3 linked regions of the Canis lupus familiaris genome follow. The protein of the gene in region 3 purifies or fractionates together with the protein of the main gene of each other region. This does not show direct contact. Links are inferred from orthologs where the notes say so. Each region holds a gene or a part of one and is shown on either strand. Other genes may lie near its edges.

Region 1 (6,219 bases), about 62 Mb from region 3:
AAGTCAACAACTTCAGTGCATAACAATCCTTGGGAACTTTCCACAGACTCTCCCAGGTCTGACCACCATTCAGGTAATTTAATGTCTGGCCAAATAGCAGATGAACTCTTCTGTATTATAAGCTCTTCTAGGATACCTTATTCTTAAGTTATCCTTCCTCTGAAATTGAGATATGAATAATCTTCTAAAACACCCTCCCTCGTTTCCATCTTGCTCTTTTCTTTCCCTTTCTTCCACAGAATGAGGTTTAACTGTCTTCTGCCTCCCCCGTGGACATAAAACTACAACCTCCTGGAATCATATAAAAAGAGTGATCAAACTTACCACCTGTTGCAAAAGTAATGTAAAGTGCAAAATCTTGGGCACTGTTTTCAATCTGTCAATGCAAAAAAATAAACGTACATGAATTCTTTCATATTTGACTGATTGGTCATTGTCAGATGTTTTCTAAACTAACCTGACCCAAATAATCTGTTTCCTCACTCTCAGTTTGCACTTTTAGACATGAAAACAGCTCTGCTCACTAGGGCTAAAGTAATTTCTCAAGGCTCATTTACAAAGAGATGTTATACTTAAGAAAGAATTCTTCAGAAGTGAACAACTTAATTTAGATCATATGTTGATAGGTCTTCTTCAGAAGAGTGCATTTATGTATCTGCAGTTAAATTATATCCAATACAGTTCTAGCTCAGTTTTGTGATAAAGATTACCTTAAATTTTTGGAGAAGTTGCTCTATTACTTCTTCAGTCCTCATATTACTATTTATTCTGACCTTAGTTTCTGACCCAAAGGCTGGAGTGAAAATCGATGTCTGGGAAGAAAACAAAGTTCTTAACATTACATCAAACTAACAAGAATCAATATGTTGAACCTGGCCTTCTTACCCTCTTATGTGAAAAAAAAAAAAAATCCCAAATCACCAGTTTAAAACTTTTGTTCTTTTGTGCTTGCTTTCTTTGTTGTTGGGATATTATGTATCCTTTTAAGCAGCTTTACATTGTTTGTTTCTAGAGTAAGTCGGGTAAAACATCATTTGAGGATGTTCGAAACATTTTCACTAGATAACCATCTCATTGTTCAATGTGGTTCAAGATTTTAAATTAAATTAACTATGACTAAACACAAATGCAAAGTAACATGAATAGTGTTCCAAGACTCTAGAAATGAGTTCGGTTCAGCAGACATGGAGATGGGTGGGCTCTGGGGTGGCTCAGTGGATTGTTAGATGAGCCTTTTATTGGGAAATCAGTGAGTAAATATCAAAGTGCATATATGCACAACATCTGTGTGAATAGAAATATGGGTATGGAGATAACTTTTTGAAGCAGATATATGGAGGATTTCTGGGATAAATTCTTGCTAAGTGTGAGAAAATTCAGTGTTTGTGCACATTGTGAGGCATTAATGAGTCACTCTGTGAAACATCTGACTGGTGCTTATGAGTTCCATGGAGTCCTGTAGACCCATGTGTTCATCTAGTACTAGGGCGAGAGTATGTTACATACATGATTATGTTGTTTATATGAAAAATATTTATGGAGTTTGGCAACAGCACTAGATTAAGACTCAGAGCCCTAGATCATAGAGTCTCCTAACTCCAACTTTGTTAGTTCACTTAACATTGAGGCCTTAAGAAGCCTCGAGGATTTCATTTGTAAAATAAGAGAGTGGGACTAGATGATCTCCAAGAGCCCTTCCAAAGTGCCAACATACAATGAACTTGGAATCATGTTTTTCAGAGTTTTACTTGGCCAAAACACACAATGGAATAAAATGGTTTCTTATTGCACGGGTAGAAGCATACCACAGGTCGTCAATAGTCATAACTTATGTACAAATATCATAATCTAAGTCTCTAATATGGCTGTTATTCATATCCTAACAATATTGGTGTTATCATGGGGTTCTGTGACATAAAAACACATCTTATGACTATATCGACTTAAACTCCTAGATGCCTCTTGCAGCACGTTCACCGATGGAGTGCTTTGGGGCTTGAGGGTTTGTTCTGTTTTCTGCTAGTTATTAAATTGCAGCGAATGGCATCTGTATGACATATGTGTGGTTCCAGCTTGATCTCTTTTAACCAACAAAAATGAAACTAATGTAAATTGAGTTTTTCTTTGTGCCAGACACTGTGCTCAGTGCTTAGCTCACCTCATTCCATTTAGTCCCATCAACCTGCAAAGTAGGAAGGATAAAAGAACGAAAGCTAAGAGATGGAGGTATTTTTTTTTAACTTCGGTCATCAAGAATTTGAAATCAGGGTGTCAAGCTGCAGCCGTCCAGCATTTAACCAGGATACTCTGCGGCCAACTTCTCATCAATTTCATTCTTAGCACAGGGGGGCCCCGCTGGCGGCTGTTCATTTGGAACAGTGAGGTCTTTACAGCCTTCTTTAACACCAACAACCCCCACAAGATGATGACACAGCATAATTATAAGGAATAAAAACCAGGGCAATTGGTAGTTGCACATCTATGCGGGACTGTCAATGGCTAAGGGGAAATTCTTGAGCCCGAAAAATGTTGAATTTGAACAGAGAATTCACAAGGGAGGTTTCTCCCCACCAGTCTCCAAAGGCGCACCTTGGATATGTTCCCAAGGGTAGAAGAAAGAACAAGGCAAAAAAGCTTCAGATGAATGAGTTAACATTTTGTATTAAAGGGCTTAGGATGGTACCTGGCACAGAATAAGTGCTTTTTAAGTATTTATTAAATGAATGAATAATTGCTGAAATACATGACATGAAAAACTTCAGTTCTGATCTATTTCCCACCATCAACAAAGTGAAATGTCTTACAAAAACTGTGGAAAGGAACACATAAATTTAAAACATTAAGTGAAAAATTAGAATACAAATTATATCCAAAGTATAACTACGCTTACATAAAAAAATACATCTATATGTTCAAGACCCGGAAAGGAACGCTGTGAGATGAGAAATTTGATTCATTGGAATAAAAGGTCTGTAGCTGTTTTTTTTTTCTTTATTTAAATGTTAATGTTCAAATGTACTTTGAACCATTCTCTATTGCAGCCCTTACATTATTCTAATGCCATTTGTTGATGTACTGGTTTCCTTGCCCGAGACCCGAGCTCCATGTGGGCAGAGGCATTAACTGAGCCATCTTTATAGTGCTTGGCACAGAACCAGACCCTTAGATAGGGCTCATCCATCACGTCGGCTAATACTTGGGTTCTGGAGTCAGACAAAGCTGGCTTCAAGTTCAGAGCTGCTACTTAAAAGTACTGTGACCTAAGACAAATTACTTAACTTCTGGAGCCTCAGTGAACACAGGCAGGGAAAATAATGGTACCTATTTCAAAGGATTGTTTCAGTGATTAATGAGATAATCAGAATCCAACTTAAAACAGTTTAATACCTAACACATAGTGAGTACCCAATAAATGTTAGATACACTACTACTATTTTATTACTATTTTTAATTGTAAGTTGAGTTGAGTGGTATTGTTAGGAAAACAGACATCATTTAAATGACATTAATGGAATTATGACTCACTTCATGGTTATAGAAGTGCCCATTAATAGAGGCCCTATGCTTCTGTCTCTCTTTTCTGTCCATCATTGGAGACTTCATCCTTTTTCTCACCAGGGTTGCTTCACTCATGGTTCGATAGAGCAATGGGGATTCTGGCTCTTCTTCTGCATAAGGCTTCAGAGTGCTACTGTGATAAGATAAATAATCTGGGAAGAATAAAGATTATAAGGGCCATATCATTAGCCGCCTACCTCCTTGGGTGGATTTGTATATGTATTTAATAGGAAAATATATAGCTAGGCAGTGAACTATAATGTTTTCAAACAGTAGGAAATAGTGTTCCGTTTTACTTTGGGATTTTAAAAAATTTCCTAATTAATTAGAGTATCATCCAATAGTCTTGAGATATTTTATCTTCCTCTAGCACTGGTGCTTGGATACAAATAGATTTTTATGGTATCTTCGATACCAAGAAATTAGGATTCCCCTGAGTTTATTTATTTTTTTATTTTTTATGATAGTCACACACAGAGAGAGAGAGGCAGAGACATAGGCAGAGGGAGAAGCCAGGCTCCATGCACCGGGAGCCGGACTGTGGGATTCGATCCCGGGTCTCCAGGATCGTGCCCTGGGCCAAAGGCAGGCACCAAACCACTGCACCACCCAGGGATCCCTCCCCTGAGTTTAGAGAAATGTTTTCAACAGGCTAACTAGAAGGACCTTTATATAAAAGATGCCAAGAGCCATCAAAGATAGGGGAATCTTGGAAGGAACATTATGTTAGTTATTGAATGTGGGTTTTTATGGAGACAGAAGAAAAAACTGCGTTGAGAAAGGCTTGGAAAAAATAAACATTGGAAGTTGTTGGTAGATTAATAAGATAATGTTGACGAGAAAAGTCTGAAATCAGCTTTGTAATAGGACGACCCCAGAAACATAAACTCTGCCCCCAGCCTCAGTCACCAGCTCCTCCCTTCTTGGTTCCCCATATCTATGTAAGATACACAATATCATGGCTGACACTTAGCAGAGTCTCAGTAAATGGTAGCTACTAATATTACTACCTTCACATCATCACTGTGGCTACCGATGTCACGTGTCATAGGAGCTGCCATTTACCATTGGTTTGTGTGAGTTCGATATGAACTTATTTGATGTTTAAGTTGATTTCTCTTTTTAAAAGAAATGGTTGAAATGACTCTATCAAATATACTGATTTCAGTATATCTGCCTCTTTTTTGGGGGAAATGGTGTTATGTAAAGACTTATTAACTAACTAAAACATTCACCTTCTAAAAAGATGTAGAATTCAGTCTGAGGGGATTGGTCTAACATAAAAAACTACTGAGTATAATAAATGATCCTAATCCCTAGGGAAAATACTGAAGAATTTTACATATACAGATTTATTCAATTCATTAGCTTTCCCTAATCTAATAAATCTAAGTGAGTTGGTGTAATTTTGAAAATAGCTGTAGGGCGCCTGAGTGGTGCAGTTGGTTGAGCATCTGATTCTTGGTTTCCACTCAGGTCATGATCTAGAGTCATGAGGTGGAGCCCTGTGTGGGGCACTGTGATCAGTGGGATGTCTCCTCGACATCTTTCTCTCCTTCTTTCTCTCCCTCTGCCCCTCCCCATCATGCTCTCTCTCTCAAATAAATAAATAAATCTTGAAAAATAAATAAAAATCATCATATTTTTATATAGTAAAGTTCTTAAATATCATATGAGCATTGTAGTGACTTAATATGATCCTAAGAGTTTTTTTTAATATAAAAGTTTTATTAAATAGTGGTGCGCAAAATGCTAAATATCAGAGAAACTTTTAGGATTCATGCTTTACATTAAAAAAGAGGTCTCTCCATTAATAAGAGTTTGATACTTACCTCCTTGGGAAACTGTTGCTTCAGGCTCTGGAATCTGGGTCCTATCCAGATCACTAATATGGTAAAGATCGTCAAACTCCCCCCAGCGTGTCATTCCCCTGAAAAGTAGTGAATCATGTAAATTACATCAGTTCTATTCATAATGGTTTTCAGATTTATAGCATTAATATAGCATGGAGAGCCTCCACAGGTAGGCATAGTCCAAATTATAATGATTTCATTTATTAAAATTCTATTTACACCAGGATGGTCATCGTGTGCTTTATATACTTCTGTCCTCACTTGAAGCAAAATTGACAATTCAGTTATACCCTGAAACACAAGATCGTACAGCTTCTGTAAAATGTGTATGCAAATGGAATTAGGAGAAACCAAAATAATCCATTGTTCACACAGATATCTCGCAATGCTCTTAGGAGAGTTAAGATATAAAAGTGTTCCTTCTTCCAACAGGCTTTGAGTTCCCATTGTATTCAAAGCATTTTTAGGTAGAATGGCTCTCAGTAAGATGTGGTGCTTATCTTTAAGGCTCTTTACTACTGTGAATGCAATTTACGAAGGAGGAAAGTATATGAGAAACTTTTTTCCTAAAACATTATGATTTATATACAGGATACTAACAATCTTCAATGCATCTTAGTGATTAGAATACATAAAACTGGGCAACTACTTATTTTTACCAGCTGGGCTGAGTCACTTTTACTTTATTTATCTAGTGACTTATCTTCTCTGTGCCTTCTCCCGTGTCCTTATCTATAAAATGGGGATGTTAATTATAGGAGGTTGGATAGGGTTGCTGAGAAGATTAAATGAGTTATTTTGTGTAAAA
Region 2 (6,980 bases), on a different chromosome or scaffold from region 3:
ATGCAAAAACCATTAGGTAAAAGTCATCAGAAAGGTATATTACTCCAATTTTCCACCTCCCAGGGAAAGTGTCAATTTGAACAAAGTTCTCAACTTCATATGTTTCAATTTAAAAGATTACTTCTACATATGCTATCACATATGAAAGAAAAACTTTCTTTCTTAAGAAAGAAAAACAATTCTCATTACCTTCCTAAGACTCCACAGCACTAGAGCAAATTGCAAAAAGCTGCCTAGATGAATCCCTCTTCCTACCACCTCAAACACCCTCCTAAGTATTAAGCCCTTAATAAGGGCCACGAAAAGGGTGCTAAGTAATTTACATGATTATCTCAATCCTCAAAACAATAGTAGGTACCACTATTATTCCCAGAAAAGAAAACTAAGGCTTAGAGATGTTTGAAAAATAAAAACTTGCCTGAGGTGATGCTTATAGTTGGGGATTCTGGTGTTGTATAAAGGAATTTGCTGGGAATATATATTAGGCTCAATGACTTATTTGTCAAGAGACAATTATAGCAGAAATCCTCAAACTGGAAATTTCACACATAAAAAACAGTAAATGATATTTGATCAAACTGAGGGTTTTCTTTGGAATTGTGTACCTCAGGATATCTGGCACATAATAGGTGCTCAATAAAAACCTGTCTGTTCAAATCTAAATTTTAAATAATTCCTAAAACAATTCAATCACATGGCAAAACCTGATAGGTTGTTTTAACAAATTAGGTTGTACAATAATCAATAATTATATTTATACCTAAAGTAATGGTCTCATATCCTGTTTTTAGCTAGAGCAGAAAAAAAAGTGAAAATGGTGGAAATAAGCTGTGTATCTTTAAAAAATAAGTTTTTCTAATTACAAATTACATTCAAAATTTTAACATGTGGGTAGCTCTGATGGGCCCAGCAGTTTAGCACCGCCTTCAGCCCGGGGCCTGATCCTGTAGACCTGGGATCAAGTCCCACGTCAGGCTCCCTATAGGGAGCCTGCTTCTACCTCTGCCTGTGTCTCTGCCTCTCTCTTTCTCTGTGTCTCTCATGAATAAATAAATACAATCTTTAAAAAAAATTTTTTTTAACATGTCATCTCAATTTATACAATACTCAATATGGATCTAGCCTTAGCCATCACAGAATAACCTTACTGTGGGGGTTTTGGTATAGCCATGAAAAGCACTACTGTTCACGTAATCACTATTTTTTAAATAAGTAATAGAAAATATCTAAGTCTCCTTTGAGTAATGTACCAAAGTAAAGCAGGTGCATTTGCAGATTATGTACTTTAAGCAAACCTATTATTTGATTAAGTTGGACCTTTGCTTAGACAAGAAAAAAGCTGGCTGAGTTAGGGCACTAGCAGTTAATTGATGTTTGAATTTAATAGCTAGAAAGATGGGTTCTATGAATACTCATTTTAAATGATTATGGGTAATCTATGAAGTCTTTCAGACACCCAAACTCTAGTTTCCAGGGAAGAAAAAAAAGAGTCTGTTCCATAGGTAAGTGAACATCTGGTGTTATACAGAAAAATTAACATATTTTTCAGTTCTCATCCTACACAGAGTAGGGCATAGGTATTATGCAAGCACAATCTTTTCCTCCTTTCCTGAAAAATGATTTATATAATAATTCCTTAATTCAGTAGCAACAGAAGTATTGCTTTCTCTCTTTTTTTCTGAGGCTCAGGTCTCTTTCATTTCAAAATACTACTACTGAAAACTTAAATTCTTCTTTTAAAAAAGACATAATCATTTAACTCAAAGAGGGAGGGAAAAGTCAGGAGGTGAAACCCAAGGTATTCCTATTAGTCTTACATAACTTACTCTAAAGTTGGAACTGATTCAGTAGTTCAACTAAAACCCGAGGTAAAAGCACAAAAATGAGTTTTTTTTAGTATATTCTCCACACACATAAAAAGTTCTTAAAATTGAAAGGGACTTATTTGTTTTCTTCTATTCTTAAAATATAAGCACCTACAGGTAAGGAAATTAGGGTGCCAACACAAAAATGCAAAAGGGTCACACTTAAAGAGCATTAAATTCATCCTATCCCATCTAGGTAATGCAGTATTTGATACAATTGGATATAATCTCAGAAAATAAATTAATTTCCTAACACTGATTTTTTTAAGTATCTCCTCTGTAAGTATGCATTAGGTATTTTTAATAAGTTCTTGCAGGGAATGCCAAAAAGTGATTTTCAAAAGCAATATATGTCTGTTCACTCAAGCTGCAAACAAAACTCTGAAAATGTAAAGTTACAGTTGTTTATGCTTAATGAAATTGGCTTTGAAAATTGCAAATTACTCCTTCGTGGGTAAATACACGTATCAAATCTGTCAAAAATGTTAAGTTTACACAAACATCTGTCCTTCCTAGAAAGACCCCAATCTGGACTCAACTAAAAGCTGTGTTAACTACATCTCACCACTGAGACACCTGAGCCTCAGTGTTAACACTGACCATAGATTCCCTGCATTGCTTTGGGAACTGCTGCTTGCTTACTCAAGCCCTGAACGGCAAATTCACCTTTCTAAAAAGACTGGAAGCGAGAAGCCAAGTTTCACTATCTAGTTTCCACCCCCCTCCCCAAAATGAATTAGGGTTTGGGATTTCACTGGGAAGGACCACATTATCAAGATGCCATCGCCCTCCCGAGGCATTTAATTACAATACCTTCTCTGTTTTCCATTCAACCACCTCAACTAAACTTCCAGTAGAACTAGACACACACAAAGTTGGTTTCCACGGCCTTGCTGAAAAGCCTCGCTTGGGTGCAAACGCTGGGATTCTGCATACATTATGCAAAAGGAGCAAAGGGAAACGAAAAGGAAAGACTGTTAGATAATACGGTGACATTACCTTGCCCGTCTTGTGATCAAACCAGACGAGAGCATGGTTCCTTGACAGCACTTTGCAATCAAAGGTAGCATTATTCTGCGCCGGTCGACAGCGGGCCACGGAGCGGCCGATTTTAATAGGCTCGTCCAGATAGACATGGCGCTCCTGAAACGGGTGCGAGTTCGGGCGGCAAGTGAAGATGGCCAAGGCTGACGGCATCGAGGACAGACTGGGGGGTGTCTCTCCTACCAGAGGACAAAGAGGAGTTCCACCGGATCCGGACTGCCCTTCACAAGCCTATCTTCCTATCCCCCCCAAAATTTTAAATTAAAACAAACTGCGCATTGTCTAAGCATAACCAGTGAACATCAACAACTCTTCACTTGAGTGGGAAGACAAGCCAGCGCAAGCCCCATCACCTCCTTTAAAACTCAGCAGCGCCCTGATCGCACAAAGTCCCCAACTGGCAGCTTTCAGTCCATCTTCTTCCCTGGGAAGAGAAGGCTCGAACATCAGACAGCTTCGGCCAAGAAAACTCCTGGAAGACAGTTTGGGGGCTGGAGGTATCCAAGCAGATGAGTCACACGCCAGTTCTTGTGTTTTGTTTGGGATCTCGGCCGCTTTTCCCCCTCGGTGGCGGAAACGTTGCAGCACTGCAGCATGAAGGAACGGTCGGTTCCGTGCGGCCAGGAAGGTCCTTTCGGGGCGAAGGAAGGTGTCGCCGAGCACCTCTGGGCAGCCACCGCCCGTCTTCAAGGGCCTCGGGAGTGGAAGGGCAGGGCCGAGGGGGGCGGCGAGGGGGTCTAGATCGCCAGCGGGACGGTCTGCATGGCTCCTGCTGCGCGGAGGACCGCCCGGGAGCTGGCACGGGGTCCCCGGCACGAGCCGAGACGGCGGCGGCGGCTGGGGTCCTCGGCGCGAGGCGCGGGGACAGGCAAAGGCGCGGGCAGCGGCCGAGCCGGGACTCCCGGGCACCTGGCGGGCGTCCCCGCGCCCAGGGCGGGGATCCGGCTGGGCAGGCCGGTGCGGAGCGAGCGAGGCGCACGCCCGGGGAGGCTCGGGGGTCTCGGCCCGCAGGAAGTTGGCGCCTGGACGCCTGGACGCCTGGACGCCTGGGCTCCGGGCAGTGGCTCAGCACACCGGCCGCCTTGTCTCAGGGTTGCCCCCGCGAGGGTCGCATCTCAGGGACGGCGGCCACGGCTCCCAGCGGACGAGAAGGTGGGGGAGGGAGGCTGGCCCGGAGATTGGGGGAGAGGCCTGGAGGCCCCGGGCTGGGTCCGCCGCAGCCTCCACCACTCGCGGCCGGTGGGGCAGGCTCAGGCTGTGCCCGACAAGGCAGGAAACTTTCCGACCTGGTGGGGAAAACATCAAAACAAACGGCCGTCAGGCGCCGGTGCCCGCCCGCCTCAGCCCGCACCCCCTTCCACCCGCGCCCCCCCCCTCCCCCGCCAGTCCCTGCGATGGGCCACGACCTCGGCCGACCTCTCCGCGGACAAGCTGCGGGGATTTAAGGCCCGGACGCCACGACGGGTCCAGCCTCCCCGGCCGCCGCCGCCGCCTCAGCTTACCTTGCCAGCGCCGGCCGCCATAGTGACTCTGACTGAAACCTACCCGGTGCACCGCCACGGGAACGCGCACCCTTCAAGGGCCCTCCTACCCCCTCTCCCGCGCCGTAGTCCGGGGTCGTCACGTGTTCGACGCCACGGAGGCCATGATGGTCAAGGGCAGAAGAGAGGGCAAGCTCCTTTTTAACGCGCCTCCGGACGCCATGTTAGTTAAGGGCTGGGAGCTTCAGACCCTGGGGACAACCCTTACGGCCATTTTTGTTAAGGGCAGGGGAAAAGTGGACCTGTTGAAGGTTTTCCGGACAAAACGTGCCAGCTTCCTACGTTACCAGCTCGGCTAGAAGACCCCAACTTTTGCTAAATTGTATTCACTATACTTCTCAGTGAAAATACCCATGAACGAAGAGAGCAGACCCATCCGAAGGAGATGTTCATTTGCAGTCATCTTAGCTGTGGGCAACACAGTCCCGTACCGCCGCCTTAGGTGTGCCCAAATTCCCACAAGTCTCAGGACTTGTGCATCAAAAATTAGTCTTCTGTGAATCCTCCTCAGAGAGAAACTTAGTCCCCGCATTCCATTTCGAATGGCCCTTCTTCTCTTGGGACCTGTCACGCACCCCCAAGGACTCCAAAGCATATTCTACCCCGGAAAGAGTGTGAGTTCAGAAAGTTTAAAATCGTGTTACTTCCAGAGGTCTAAAGGAAAACTTTTCAAGAAAAGATATGGTGGGAAGGAGTTTTATTCATTTATGAACCAAGGGTGGCTTCATTCTTCAAATTGCTCTGACAACAGGCTCTACCACTGTGTGACCTTGGGCTTTTTCTGAAACTTTGCTAAACCCTTTCAAGCCTCCTTTTCTCATCTATATAACTTGGAGATCATGGGTAACTCACTTGTTATTGTGGGATCTAGGGTTTGGGCCGTTTCTTACCTGTCCTAAAGTTGTGTGTTGGGCCCTGGGGACACAAGTGAACAAAAAACCTCAATCCCTGAAACCGCACCTCGGGTTTTGTAGGATGGGGATGGGGGGGAGGGGACAAACATAGACACAGATGGTTTCACTCTGATGTAATGAGGGCCAAGATGGAAGCAAGCCCTGAGTACTAGAGGTATCACAGGGATGGCCTTCTGGGGGAGGTAACTGAACTGAAGGAAGGTAGGGAAACCACGGTCAATGCAGTATTTGCTGAAGAGCTTCTTAAATTTCCAGGGAGAGAGACTAGCGAGAAAGGAACAAAGCTATTCGAAACAGTGGACCCATATGCTTGGCACATAATAGTGACAATAAATACTTGATGCATGAATGAAAATTACATACTGTAACTCATCACAGGATAAAGTAGGGATGGCACAAAGTGGGTCTGGAGAAAAGAATATGCATTCGATTATAAAGTATAGAGACCCTGTGTATTTGTGTACTTTGCTAGGACTCCACTAGTTCAGCAAATAGGTATTGAACTACTACTGTGTTCCAGGTTCTTTACTCTGGGAAATAAATAAATAAATAAATAAATAAATAAATAAATAAAGCTATGTTGAAAAGTTTTAATATAAGAAGATGAAAAGTTTTCATTTCTGGTAACTTTTAGGCTTATGTAGAACAAAGTAATAAAGGCCCCTCCACAAATCCCTAATGAGTTCTGTGCATGAATTTATGTTATTTGTGCCTACTTTCATTTGTCCATGCCATAAATATTTAATTGGACGCCGACTGGAAAACAGCTACTTTGAAAAGCCCTACAACAGTGAAAAAAACTGTGACTCCCTCAAGCTGCTCACAATTTAGGTGATGACATAGTAAAATACTTGCTGTCAGAGTATATCAAGAGTAATGGGAGCATGGCAGAGTAGTTTGTTTTTTAAGTTTTAATTCCAGTATAGTTTACATACGGTGTTGTATTAGTTTCAGGTGTACAATGTAGTGATTCAATTATTCTATGTTACTCAGTGCTTGTGAAGCTAAGTGTAGTCTTAATCCCTTTCACTTATTTCACCCATCCCCCACTCTCCTCCCTTTTGCGTAAATACTACTGGTATTTACCCAGTAGTACAATTACTGGATTGTAGAATAATTCTGTTTTAATTTTTTAAGGAATACCCATTCTGTTTTCCATAATAGCTGCACCAGTTTGCATTCCTATCAATAGTGTACGAGGGTTCCTTTTTCTCCTCAGCCTCACCAACACTTGTTTCTTGTGTTTTTTGTTTAAGCCATTCTGACAAGTGCGAGGTGTTATTTCATTGGGTTTTGATTTGTATTTCCTTGATGGTGAGTGATGGTGAGCATCTTTCCATGTCTGTCGGCCATCTGTATGTCTTCTTTGTAGAAATGTTCATGTCTTCTGCCCATTTTTAAATTGGATTCTTTGTTTTTGTGCTGTTGAGTTGTGTAAATTCTTTATATATTTTAAATACTAATCTTCATTCAGTAGGTTGTCTTTTAGTTTTGTTGATTATTTCCTTTGCTGCACAGAAGCTTTTTATTTTGATGTGATCCCAATAGTTTATGCTTGCTTTTGTCTACCTTGCCTCGGGGGACATACCTGGAAAAATGTTGCTATGGCTGCTGTC
Region 3 (6,832 bases):
GGCCTGGGTTAGAGAATGCCCGTTTTCTGTTTGGCCTGGGGGAGCTCCTTTCACCCCTTTGAGCTTCAGTTTCTTCACTTATGACATAGATATAACTACTTTCAGTGGTAGTTTTAAGTTTTTAAAATTTTTTTTTAACATTTTATTTTATTTATTCACGAGAGACACAGAGAAAGGCAGAGACACAGGCAGAGGGAGAAGCAGGTTCCCTGCGGGGGGAGCCCAGTGCAGGAGTTGATTCCAGGACCCTGGGCCTGGCCAAAGGCAGATGTTCAACCACTGAACCACCCAGGTGCCCAGTTTTAAGGGTTTAATGAGATAATGTTAGCCAATTGTCTGACCCTGTTAGAATCATACACCAGTTGCTAGCACTCTTCCTTTTCAAACTGAGGGAAGGCCCCAGAGATTTATTTTCTGATATTATTCCTTCCTTCCTTCCTTCCTTCCTTCCTTCCTTCCTTCCTTCCTTCCTTCCTTCCTTCCTTCCTTCCTTCCTTCCTTCCTTCCTTCTAGATTATTTCTAAACTTCTTAAAGGGTATCTCAGTCAGGGCTCTATTAGGACGGTTGAGGTCTAGGGGAACATAGGAAATAGAAGAGGGACCAAGGGAATAGCAGGGCACTCACTACCTGTAGGCCCAAAGGGATGAGGGGAAGAAATGAAAGCTGGGCTCCAGGTGACCTCACTGGAAGGGAATCAGGAGAATACGTAGCCTTACTTTCTCCCTCAGATGATCTCTTGCTGGGTCTTCCTATTGTAAGCCAGAGAGTTGAGAGCTCCATAATGTCAGCCATATAGGTCAACCCTTAGGGCACAGGGCAGATGGGAAAGAATGGAGAATGAATCTGGGGGGCTAAGGAAGTTATCCAACCTTACTATATCCAAGGTACCTGCTATGCAAGGGATAGAGAAGGTAAACATAGTCTAATTCTCAGCAGACTCATGGCTGGAATGATAGTCAAACAGAACTTTAATTTAGTACAACCAGCACAGTGTGTTATGGGCATATAGATGAGAGGCATCTCTTTCATAACTTAAATGTCAGAGATAGTGGGGGTGGTGGTGCTGGTGGTTTGACTGGGAAAGTCTTTCTGGAGATTAAGATTCATAGCATAATTCAGAGTCCATTTTAAAGTATGACAATTTGATCCCATTTTAAAATATGACAATTTTTAAAGAAGATTAAATGCTGTTCTCTGAAAGATTTTTTTGATGAAATAGAAGAAGATGGGACTAGGGCATGGAAGTGAGGATGAGAAGTGAGGGATAGAATGACATAATTTCAAAAGTTTTTCCTAGTTTTTGTGTTTTAATAATTTAGCTTTTTGCTGTCTTGTTAGTTCTGAACTATAAGTCCGTCGATGTTTAGTAAATGAAAAGGAGTATAAAATTTTATAACAATCTCTTTTTTGCAGAACCTGACTTCAGGGTTCAACAACGAATGGTCTTAAATTTAACATAACTAAATTTAATGGGGAATATAGTGCTTTGAAAAATAAATCATGTAAGTTTATTACATATGGAAACAATGCAAAAAAGAGGAAAACGACTATTAGACAAGTCTAATTTGGATTAATATTCACAAAGTTCCTTTATTTAACATTCTCTTCATAGACTTTGCTCTAACCTTCAAGAAACCTCTATGACTCTACACCTGGATAATTTCTAATGAAAGCAAACTCATTACATAGCACCTTAGATGATCATAAGAAAGATATTTATATACGGAACTTCATGTTAAATGGTATCCTAAAAAGATAGATGCAGGAAGGGATCAAATCACAATGAGGTCAGGGCCTTCGGAAAAGGTTGGGGGAGACAGGTGACAAGAAGGAAGAGAAACTTTTCTTGACTTCTTTTCTGTGCACCATAATTTGTTTTAGGTTTTCCAGGTGATCCAAGCGAACAGCTGGCAAGACCACAGTGCATGAAATCTGTGCACTGGGATCTCACCGCAGTCCTAATTTTCTTTGTAATCAGACGTAATTATAGCGAAATGTAGTGAGGAGTTTGTCCACAATCAACATCAAACAAGAATTTCCAGTAGTATCCCTCGTGCTGTAGCTACAAACGTCAAACCGGGCGGGCGTAAAACACAGCCCATAATTATAAACAACTAGAGACAGAAGCGTGGGCAGTTAGTGACACTTCAAAAGGCTGCACAAGATGCTTGGGATGTGTCTTTGGGAAATCCAGAGAAGAAATGAGTCAAATAGGATTGGGGCAAAAGCCAATTTTCGGAGGCAGATGCGGAGCGGCAGCTCTCAGCGGCTCCAGGGAAGGTGCATCCCCCGCCCCCGGCCAGCACAGACAGGCCCCGGGTCCTAACTAGGCCTTGGTCCGCGGGTCTCCGCGCCCTTTTTCCGCTCGCAGCTCGGGGGCCGGCGCTTGACTCCGCCTCCGCCTCGGCCTCGGCCTCCGCCTCCGCCTCGGCCCCGCCCCCGCCCCCGCCCCCGCCCCCGCCCCATCAGGGCCCGGCTCCGCCCACCAGCCTGGGCCGCCGCTGGCTCCGCCCACTCTCCCCGGGCGGCGGAGGGGCGGGGCTCGGCGGAGGGGCGGGGCTGGGCGGGGCTCGGCGGGGCGGGGAGGGGCGGGGCGCGGAGGCCGCGGCGCTCGCGAGCGGGAGGAGGATCCGCCGCGGACTTACGGGAAAGTTGGTCCGAGTTCCTGGAGGTTTTCCCCGGGGACTCGGGGGCTCGGCCGGCCGGTGCCCGGCTCCTGTCCTCCCTGCGTCCTTCAGCGCCCACCGGGGCCGTTCCTCTGTCGCCGGCCGCCATGGAGCAGCCGCCAGCGCCCAAGAGGTAACGCTCGCGGGGAGCCGGGAGCCGGGAGCCGGGAGCCGGGAGCCGGGAGCGGAGGGAGGGCGGGGGGGCCGGCGGCCGCGGGCGGGGGCGGCTAGGCCCGAGCTGGCGGCGACCCCTCCGCGGCGGCGGGGCCCGGGCCGGGCGCGTCGGCCGTCGCGAGGCGGGGCCGGGCCGCGGCTGCCCCCAGGCCCGGGGCGCCGCGGGGAGGCCGAGCCTGGCGTCTGCCGCGGCGGCCGGGCCTGGCGGCGTGGGGAGTCGCTGGGGAGTCGCTGGGGAGCGGCTGGGGAGCGGCTGGGGAGCGCCGGCCTCCCCGCCGCGCTCCTGGGCCTCTTCCTCCCGGCGAGTCTCGGAGCCCGGGACGCGAAACGGGGCATGCATTAGGCTGCTCGCAGCCTTCTCGGCGCTTTTGTCCAGTGTTTCTCGTGATACTGCCATTTATTTGAGAAGGCGGATTATTTGTTTCCCGTCGAAGGAATTCCGTAGGAACAGCTACGTAGTGTGTGGACCTTGAGGGTGTACCGCACTGACAGGTGTTCCTTCCTCACCGCCCTCAAGTTCAAAAGTATTTATGGATGCGAGACAGTAGGAATCCTAAATTAGAACCCCTTCCCCGCATAGTGCTTTGTTTTGTTTTCTAGCATATAGAAGTAGTGATGCTTTGGTATTTACTGTTAGTTTGATCTTTGATATATTGGAAGAGTGAGAGTACACAGTAGATACTTTTAAAAGTAGTATTTGAAATGATCAAGCTAAATCAAGGCTGCCCAGAGATATAAATTCATAATGTGCATCTTTTTTCCCCCCAAGAATGAATCAACGTCATTTAACTGGTGTTGTTTAAAACATGTAATCTCAGTCTTTCATTTGTAATTTATAAAATAAGAGTACTAATCTTTCTCCCAGAGAGTGCTGTTGTGAAGATTAAGGAGTTCCTGTGTTCTGATACTTAGAGATCTTTAGACGAAAGGTGATATATTCAGGAACATGGAATAATTAAAAAGGTAGGAACTTTGTGAGCTGTTGTGAATCGTGTGACTAGACATGTGAGCCTTGAGGCCTGGAAACCATCTGTTCAGGTGAAAAAAGGTGGGTGTGTGGAAGGGCGTCCAAAAGAGACTTGTTATCAGAGCCCTTGATTTTTGTCTGGTATTTTGTATTGAATTCTCGTATTGATTGGGCACCCAGTTTTAGTATCTTAGAAGAAAATTGGAAACTTTTTTTCTTCTCTGTTTTGGAAGGACTGTAAGGGGGCCACCTCTGAGATGATGCCCAAAGGTCAAGTTGAACAACTCCAAATTGAAGTAGAAGCTCTATTCATTCATTGGCTGTAAATTATCGGTTTCTTTATAGGTATAAGAGATCCTCTGGCCTTGCAGGGGCTCTAGAAAACCTAGAAGGGCCAGGGGGAGATGTGGGTGGTATATATAACCATTTCATGGTCATTTATACTTTACAAAGTGATGCTTGCACTCCAACAGGCTCATTTTTAGTTCTCTTCAGACAGACTTCGTTGTTCCAGGAAGGCATTTCTGGAAAGCAAGCTATGTGACATTAAGCCCATATATTTGAATGTCACTTAAATTTTTTTCATAGCATTTTCATTTTCATAATATCATCATAGCAACCCTATTACGTAAGTTTGATTACAGGAAGTAATCCTGTTTTGTAGCTGAGGACACAAAGAGTTTGCTCCATGGAAGGCTATGACAGGGATTACTGAAAGTGAGTTTTTGTGTCCTCCCTATTGATTATTACCTTCTAATAATAAAATATGCCATTTTTGAGGTCATTTTTTCCCCCAGGAAATTTGTATATGCATTCCTTTATTTTATTGTCATAAGAAAGAGGAATCATGGCTCTGCAGCTTATTACGCTAGTTCTAAATTTAATTTCTTCATCTGTAAAGTGTGTTACGGGGATTAGAATAGGTCATGTGTAAAAGCACTTAGCACAGTGCTCCATAATGTGTTGAACGACGCTAAATGTTGGTTTATTTTTTCCTTATTAAATGAAACTCAGAGAGGTTAAATAATTTGGTCAAGTGGAGGAGTTGCCAGAACCCTGAATCTGATTGGCTGCAAAGGCTGTGAACCCTCTCATTGTGTACAGTGATACCTCTTTTTAAAAACACTTCTTTTAGCCTTCCATGGTGTGGTGGCCATGTCTTTGTACGATCCTGTGGGCCCTCTGCTTGTTCTTTTCCTAATCCCTGTAAGAATGTTGCTTTGCTTTTCTGCCTTGCATAGGAGCACTTCCTTAGGGCTCAGACATTTTTACATGGTCACATTTATGTTGCTGATGTTCAAGTCTGTATGACCAGCAGGTGTGTTCAGTTGGAATATTTGATATTTTTATGCAGATCCATTCTTTCATTATTCTTTCTAGTTTGTCACTAAGTCCTATTGAATTCTCCATCAAGAAGTCTAGATTCATTTTCTTTTCTGTTTTTCATTTTTGATACTACTACTCCATACCTGGGTTTTATGACCGTCATACTTGATTTACAGCAATGCCTTCCAACTAGGTACTTTAGGGCAGTGGTTTAAAAAATTTTTTAGCAGGAAGGCTGTGTTTGGAGTAGAGGCAGGCACTAGGACCTGGTTCTCACTGCCTTATCTCCTTCTACTCCCCTTTTGCTGCCTGCAGAACCTCCTAATGATCCATAGGACACTGCCTGCAATGGCTTTTGATTTGTTTTCTTAAAGCATCACTTTCACCATGCTATTCCCTTTAAAAAAATTTTTTTTTTAATTTTTAAAAATTTTTTGGTTTGGGGCACACTTGTTTACTTAGTATCCAAGACCCCTATCACTTGGTCTCAGATTTAATCCCCAGGCTTTTGTTATTCTTCTCCAAGATGAATCTGTCCTGAAGTTTCCCTTTTGTTTTTTATTTAGGTTGTAGGGTATGGGTACTCCCAACTTTGCCTTTGTTCAGGCTTTTCCTTTGGAGAAGTTTGTATTATTTTTTGCTACGAATCTGTGTTTTATTCTTCCTTAAAGGCCGGCTTCATATAGAATCTTATTTGAGTGCTTTCTAGCCTAAGGTATTCCTAATATATCCATTTGAATATATGCCATCTTCATATTTTTCTTTTTTTTAATTACAAAATTTTAGCTATTCAAAAGGTAATGGGGACTAATTTAATAACTACTTATGTATTATGCTACCCAACTTGAGAAATAAAATATTGTGAATATAGTTGAAGGTCCCTAAGTATATCTGTTTTCAGATACATTCCCTCCCTATCCCCCAAAGGATTGTCACTACTTGGGTATTTGTTACTGAGTATTTGTTATTCCTTTACCATACATGTCTTTATATTTTTAGCATGCCATTCATGTATATCTGACCCAGTGTTAGGCCTGCCTTTGCTCTTTGGTATCGTTCTTGTCCTCTGGGAATTGGAGAGTCCACTGGGCAGCCAGATCTGAGAATTGTGACTAGAGGGTCTGGAAGGCCGCTCTTACCTTTACATCATTGATTTGGTCTCACCAACAAGGCTGTGTGGTCACTTAAAGTCACTGACTTGAGGTATCAAAATAGCTTTTAGATTCCCTGGGTTTCCTTAACGGATCTGTCACAGAGGTCCCCTTTGGGAATGGAAGACTGTTCAATGGTTATTAATTGTTAGCATTTTGGTAAGTTGAATTTCTCAGATTTTTTTGTAGGGGAACTACTAGATGGAGGAAAAATGACCCCACAGCAGGTAAGTTTTAACAGATAGAAGAGGGAATGTTGGAAGCATAAGATTTCTTAAAAGGCGGGGGTGGAGCTCTGTGATAGGTGGTGGGTAGCATGGAAACTGGTTGCTTGAGGATAGGTAGTTATATAAACAATATTTGTTAGAGGATAGAATATCATTGCTGGAGAGATACACTTTACCAGATGGGCTTTGCTCCTCAGTTTGATTATAGGATTAATAGTTACTTAAAATTTAAAAATCGTTAAAGTGTACTTGGAGGAAAAGTTGGTGTGGAACAGTGAAAACACTGGAAGGATAATAAGAGAGTAAGCTACTGAAATTTA

The links.
Region 1: the proteins of STK3 (region 3) and RASSF6 purify together in Homo sapiens (affinity purification with mass spectrometry; 4 studies listed by BioGRID and IntAct, counting the BioPlex papers as one, with this or other methods). This does not show direct contact. The link is inferred for Canis lupus familiaris from reciprocal best matches to the Homo sapiens genes STK3 and RASSF6.
Region 2: the proteins of STK3 (region 3) and SLMAP purify together in Homo sapiens (affinity purification with western blotting; 3 studies listed by BioGRID and IntAct, with this or other methods). This does not show direct contact. The link is inferred for Canis lupus familiaris from reciprocal best matches to the Homo sapiens genes STK3 and SLMAP.

What each region holds. Positions count from the first base shown.
Region 1 is NC_049234.1:63,356,181-63,362,399, forward strand, and holds part of RASSF6 (ras association domain-containing protein 6), read right to left. Parts: intron 5,489-6,219; coding exon 5,391-5,488; intron 3,711-5,390; coding exon 3,526-3,710; intron 813-3,525; coding exon 711-812; intron 377-710; coding exon 325-376; intron 1-324.
Region 2 is NC_049241.1:32,992,971-32,999,950, forward strand, and holds the start of SLMAP (sarcolemmal membrane-associated protein), read right to left. Parts: upstream 3,742-6,980; 5' UTR 3,063-3,741; coding exon 2,865-3,062; intron 1-2,864. UniProt on the Homo sapiens protein: Associates with the striatin-interacting phosphatase and kinase (STRIPAK) core complex, forming the extended (SIKE1:SLMAP)STRIPAK complex.
Region 3 is NC_049234.1:1,023,597-1,030,428, reverse strand, and holds the start of STK3 (serine/threonine-protein kinase 3), read left to right. Parts: upstream 1-2,584; 5' UTR 2,585-2,774; coding exon 2,775-2,800; intron 2,801-6,832. UniProt on the Homo sapiens protein: Stress-activated, pro-apoptotic kinase which, following caspase-cleavage, enters the nucleus and induces chromatin condensation followed by internucleosomal DNA fragmentation.